Linked DNA regions of Bombyx mori. The protein of the gene in region 1 purifies or fractionates together with the protein of each later gene. This does not show direct contact. Links are inferred from orthologs where the notes say so. Each region holds a gene or a part of one and is shown on either strand. Other genes may lie near its edges.

Evidence for each region. The genes of interacting proteins can lie anywhere in the genome.
Region 2: the proteins of deubiquitinase OTUD6B (region 1) and ubiquitin thioesterase otubain-like fractionate together in Homo sapiens (co-fractionation; 4 studies listed by BioGRID and IntAct, with this or other methods). This does not show direct contact. The link is inferred for Bombyx mori from reciprocal best matches to the Homo sapiens genes OTUD6B and OTUB1.

The regions. Positions count from the first base shown.
Region 1 is NC_085110.1:12,094,071-12,096,860, reverse strand, and holds deubiquitinase OTUD6B, read left to right. Parts: upstream 1-1,290; coding exon 1,291-2,145; 3' UTR 2,146-2,290; downstream 2,291-2,790.
Region 2 is NC_085118.1:933,389-937,323, forward strand, and holds the start of ubiquitin thioesterase otubain-like, read right to left. Parts: upstream 2,801-3,935; 5' UTR 2,708-2,800; coding exon 2,600-2,707; intron 2,503-2,599; coding exon 2,203-2,502; intron 1,486-2,202; coding exon 1,264-1,485; intron 430-1,263; coding exon 319-429; intron 4-318; coding exon 1-3. UniProt on the Homo sapiens protein: Hydrolase that can specifically remove 'Lys-48'-linked conjugated ubiquitin from proteins and plays an important regulatory role at the level of protein turnover by preventing degradation.

The DNA.
Region 1 (2,790 bases):
CCATTCTTCAGATGTGTATTTGCAGATTTGTATTTTTATAATAATTTACGATTATAACCAACTCTACAATGTACATCTATGCATCACACAGGTATACAGCTATGCGTAGTTGCGTACTTTTTAAATAAAAAATGTATTCAGTGCCCTTAAATATCTCGTTTCCAGGCCATACTATCCCAATAAAAGTGGATCATCATGCCTACGAATTTGCTGTGATTTATGCAACGTTGGTTAAGTACCCCGTCTCTAATTCTCCGCACCTCGGAGGGGATCGGACGTCGGGTGTAAGAGTGCAGGGGAGTCGTTTAGTGGGTGGGTCCTAAAATCCTTGGACCCGCGGTCTGCTCACAACACCATGCAGATCGTTGAGTCTCACATACCCCGCGCGCCCCTTTTGCGCGGGGACCTCGTAGGAGGTTCGGCCCTCTAGCCGAAAAAAAAAAAAAAAAAAAAAGTTACCCCGTCTCTAACACTGTGAACTTATCTGATAATTCTGATTTACTTTTAGCGGAAACGTGAGAAGTGCAGTTGTGTGATTTGTTTTATTTTGCCTGTTTAGTGTTTCTTTAGGTTTAAATGTGTAATAACGGTGGTTTATTAACTATTTCATATCTGTGAAAGTGCACAAATGTAGGAAAATGAAACAAAGTCACTGGACGTAACTTCTCGGGATCATCCGAAAAGCCCACTGAAAAAAATTCAGTAAATGACCACCATTTTACTGAGATTATATTTCATCCCATATCATCTCTTATTATTTCATTTCATTTCATTCCAGTTGATTAATGGCTATGGAGGGTAGAGATACCCTCCTTGTTAATGGCTCAAATAATCATCTTCATTTCATTTCACTCCATATTATCATTTTCCATAAAAATAAGAATATAAATTAAAATAAGACATGACTTAAAGGTCGTAGTTACCAGGTCGTAAAATCCCTTTAAAAAAAAGAATTCTGATATTTATTGTCACTTGTCAGCAAAGTCAGCATGTATTTCAGTCATTTCAGTTCTTCGAGAATTTAAACACTTGTTTCTATTAAAATTTATTATAAATAATATACTTAATATTGTAGTAATAATAAAATAATTTATTATAAATAATATACTTAATATTGTAGTAATATTAAAATGAACAATTAGCACGGTGTTTATGTATTCTTTTTTATTATTGACTGAGTAGGTAGTTTCTACGGACATGTGTGTATGAAATAAATTAAATTATAGCCAATACCCATAACGTTTCAATACAAAATAAAATTAATATTCACGTCAAGTAGAAAACAATAAAATGGAAACGGAGAAAGAAGCAGAAGATGTAAATAGTATGGAAATTAGACAACGTAAGGAGAAAAAAGAGTTGCAAGCCCAAATTCAAGCATTGAAAAAAGTAGCTAAAAATGACAAAACAAAAAAGAAAGATCTTGCTGCTGAAATATCAAGGCTTGAAAGTGAATTAGAAATTAGACACAATAAGGAGATTATGGAAGCAAAACTTTCTTCTGAACACAACTTAGAACCAATGGTAGATGAAACAAGAGTTATCAAAACAAAAGTATCTAAAGCGCAACGGCGCCGAGATAAAAAATCAGAACAAGAGAAAATCCGCGAAGAAGAAATAAAACTTCAAGACAAGGAAAATGTTCATGGAGCTAGGAACATTGAAATACAAACTATTACCAAAAGGCTTGAAGAAAAAAATTTGAAAATTTTTACTGTTCCATCAGATGGAGATTGTTTATACAAAGCTGTAAGTCATCAGTTGCAACTTGTGAAACAAGAGACTGTAAGCGTGGATGAATTGAGAGAAAAAGTTTCAAATTACATAAGGGATAACAAAGATGATTTCAAACCTTTCATGTGTAACCCAGAAACACTAGAAACATTAACAGATGAGGAATTTGAAGATTATTGTCATAAAATAATGAATACCAAAGATTGGGGTGGTCAATTAGAACTTAGAGCCTTGTCAAATATTTTAAAGTGTCCGATAAATGTGATACAAGCTGTCGGACCTGATTGTATAGAGCAAGGCACAGAATTTGAAGGCCCACCATTGATAATCACATATCACAGGCACATGTATAGCTTAGGTGAACATTATAATTCAACCAATCTGATTTCAGTTAGTGAGAATACCTCATAAAATACAAATAACTTTAAATATAAAAAACAGATGTGCATAATTCAAGAAAAGAGAAAATAATAATTCATTTTTTATAAAGTTAGGTAAAAAGGACATTGGAAATGGTAACAAATACAGTTTAGTATATAATAAAAACATTACATAATATTGCCTTTTCTGTTCCTAGCATAGTAAATGGAATATGAGTTTACTGCCCCTATACAATAACATTGAGCCACCAATTGCCTTAGAACATATCGACGCTTGAAAGGCAAAAGTGACTAAGCGACAATAACTGCTTTGTACATAAATGATAGGCAATAACCATATTTAATGTGCAAAAAAATATATTTCTAGGTCTATTAAAATCATTTCAATCCTACAGCTACTAGCTAGATTCGTTAAAATAATTTTTTTTTCAGGTTCAACTTTATATTAGTCTACTGTAAAGTTCACGCATTGTTGCTTAGTCACGTTTGCCTTTCAAGCGTCGATAAGATTGCTTTTAAAATCTTATTAGAAAAATCAATATCCTAAAAATCAAATGAAAATTAATGATTTGTTGGGAGGATTGACAAGTTTTGTGAAACAAGATACAGATTAGTGACAGATTATAATCATTTGGAAATTCGCTTAATTAATAAAGACACTAAATGTCAATTTTAT
Region 2 (3,935 bases), on another chromosome or scaffold:
CACCTGCAATAAAAAATTTTGACATTTACTAATTACCACATTAGCAAGTAGAAAAAATATGCTCTTCAATTACTTTTTTTAACACGGTTCTATTTACAAAACATAATAGAGATTAGGATATTTTTAGTTTTCTGTGAAACTGGTTATTCTTTTGGTTGAACCAGAATTGAAATGAAATGAATGAACAATTTTGAAGTAGGTACTTTACTACTGCTTTACAGATTTAAATATTTTTGCTTTCAATTTAAAATGACATTACAATTTGTAATTAAACAATTAAATTTTTTTGGTAACTAGCATCTAAGTTTTATTGCTCACCTGGCTACCTTCACCCCGATCCATGTACTTCACTCGGACGCACACCTTGAGTGCATTACTCAATGCTATGATATGGATATGGTCAGACTCTTTGTACATCGGTTCCACTTCCTGCAATAACAAATTAAAAGATCTAACAAAAATATTTTTGAATCACGGTTCTCTTTCCAACTGAATGAACCTAGGCACCTGCATGGTAAATGTATACGATACTACAAAAATAATTTTTTTAGTTGCCCTTTTAGGAAGACGAGCATACGGCCCACCTGATGGTGAGTGGTTACCGTCGCCCATAGACTTCAGCAATGCCGGGGGCAGAGTCAAGCTGCTGCCTACCGTTAAGCACTCTCCACAATTCTCATTTGAAGAGGGAAATGTCATAGTGCTCGGGAAACATTGTGGAGGAGAGCTCAATCCAAAGCCGAATGGTATAGAGCGCTCCCTATGGGAACATACGGTCACCTTTTTTTACATAAACAAATTCACAACATGTGGTTTGAACCATAATTTAAGTAGAATCTGTTGTTTATACGCATGGGACCAATTTCAAGACGAACTATGTCAGTGACCATGAGCAATAACAACAATTTCAAGTCTAGTGCACTATACTATTGATATAAAAATATTTTGGGAAAAAATACAATAACCTTGTTGTCTCTCACAAAACAAATATCCACAATCGTGTTTATTACATTTTATTATTATTCTACCCTCAAACACTAAGCCTGACTACTATGTAGCAGAATCACAACAGTAAGTCAGAAACTTTATTTTAAATTATGTTCCTTTTTGAGGAGTTAACTTGCACATATGTTAGAAATACAAATAATATCAAAATACCACATGGTACAAAAAGTTAAGTGGTTACTGAAAACAACCTAAATGCTGCAGCACAATCCTTTTATTGTAAATAAATAAATTGTAAAACATTTATGTCATTGTTACCTGTCTACAAAACTCAGTAACAGTGCGTGGTCCTTCAATAAAATTCTGATAAAATTCTTGGTCTGTCTGCAGCTGGCCAGATGTAATAAGACGAAGGTACACCACTATGTAATCAGAATATCCCTGCTTGTTGAACTTATCATGAAGCTCCATACGAACTGTTTCTATCAAATCCGGAGTAGAACCAGCATGTTCCCCTACTCTTTGGATTACTTCCATAAACTGCAAATTATAATTTTAATTAGATTTGTTGTTTTAGTTTACATTGACAAAGTTGAATGTCTTTTTTTAAATTATATTTTAAATAAAGAAGTCTGCAAATTAGTCTAAAGAAGTCTGCAAACTATTAGCTACTTGATATTAGGAAAAAGTCCAGATGACATGAAGACAGTGTGAAGACTTCAAGCGTGTAGATCAAGTCTCAACTCTATAGTATCAAGGTATCTAATTATATGGTCCAAGTATTACTTAGAAACACTGTCTTCATCAAACACTTAAAATTGATTTATCCTAATAGCTTTTATATTCGGAAATATTTTTGGGCTTTCCTGGTGTTTAGATAATAAGCTTTGTTATATTATGCATTGTCTACACAAGCCATTAAGATCTTGCCTATTCCAGTTTAAGGCAGTCACCCAGGCTTTATAAACATTTGTGGTTTTTTAAAACTGCTTAAACCAGCCACGCTTTATTGCCCCCAATAATTTTCAATCAAATAATTATGCTAACCTCCCTTTCTATTAAATGTTATAATATTCATGTCTGACTTATCTTCGATGATCTGACTATTCAAATCAATACTCTGGTGAGTTTTATGATGATTAACAGCGAAATTTTTATTTTCTGAGAAAAAACCATAATCTCCGGTCAAGGCCTCGCGCGCAACCCGTAAACTTGAAACGTCCTTGTCAACAAAACAAAAAGAATGTTGCAACTTACAGTTTCGTAAAAATCTTCAACGGTGAACTGCGAAAACCCTAAGGCGACGAGAATATCTTTAGAATTTTTTGCTATTTCGTAAAACTTATCATATTCCTGCTTATCAGTCAGTAAGCGTTCCAAATATGCGTATGAGAACGCGCGAAAGAAACAATTGCCATCGGGACGCGTTCGTCTAATGCTTTTGTATTTCGAAGACAAATCTTTCACTTTGAGCAAATAAATCGGATCCTCGTTATATTCTTTCTCTAAAGTCTGCAATTCTTCAATTTCACCAACCAACGGTATTGTTTCCGATATCTAAAAACAAACAAACAGTAACGTCAAATTTCAAAGTATGTTTTCAGTGTGAAGTATGGTTTTAGGTAGTTTTCTGGTTATATATTATATATATTACCTCTTTTTCTATTTCACGTTGCTGTTTCATTATCAATTCATCTTGATTAATTGAATTTTCAACCGTATTACCGGTAATACCGCTACTGCTTGATGCATCATCCGCCATTTTCAAATAACAACTGACATATGTTTTGACAGAAAATTGCAACAAAACAAATGACTAAAATGACATTCGTTTACCGTTCAGAAAAGTTGATTGACAATGTCGTCGGCAAATTAATACAAAAAGTATCTACTGTTAAATTCCTTGAAATTAATAATCTACGTAAATGAAATCGTAGCCGTGCTAATCAAACCCATGCACTGATACAAATACAGTTGTAGAAACCTAGGAATATTGAACCATTTGGGTTTAAATACCTACCTACTACATTGCGTCCGTGCTCACCGATTCGTTTTCGTGAAACTAGAAGGACAACTATCTTTCCAAAAAAATGTTACTAAATTAAAACGAAGTCTAATAAATATATAAAATGAAGTATAAATAAAATATATTAAATATAAAATGAAGGAATTGAAAATAAAAACATAACATAAGTTTATATTTAAAATTTATTTACCATTAAGAAATAATGCCATAATGTAACCAGTTTTTTTCACAATATTTTATATTAGATGTGTTATGCTATCGATTTTGTATATTCCCATACCAAAACGATTTACTTGCGATTCATGTAACAGTTGATTCTTGCAACATAAAAGCCATAAGGGCGGCTCCACTTGTTGTACCTACAAAAAAATTGCTGCTGTAATGATGTTGCAATGTTACACCAATACAATCTAGAAATAGTTAATTAATTTTTATATTAAATGAAAACGATCATGTAATCACAATTTTTTATTGATAGATTAAATTAAATGACTAATCATCTAAAAATTAATCAAAAAAGTCGAGCTAAAGTAAGAAAATGTTTGACGTTGTTATATAAAGCTGTTAACGCCTACGAATTTCTAAGGAGCAATGAACAAAATTTTATTTATGTTCACCGACACAATTTTTAAACACTTCAATTAATGGCCGTGCCAAGCTAACTCATTCGCAACGTATTAAATTAACAAAAACCTGTATAAAGGAAATACAAGCACAAAATCGATTGTGGAAGTTTTATTGAGAAACCCAAGCATCCAACAAAGGCCTATTTGTTTTTATCGGTGATTATCTGTCCTACATTTCAACCCAAATGAAGGTAAATATAGGACGTTTTTTTTTACGTTTGAGCAACAATTTATAAAAACAAGCTGTCCAATTGCATTAATCAAACTGGTGGGTTACCTCGGTAGTTTTCCAATTGCAGCACAAGAGCGCATTATGCGGCATAATGCTAATACAGGTA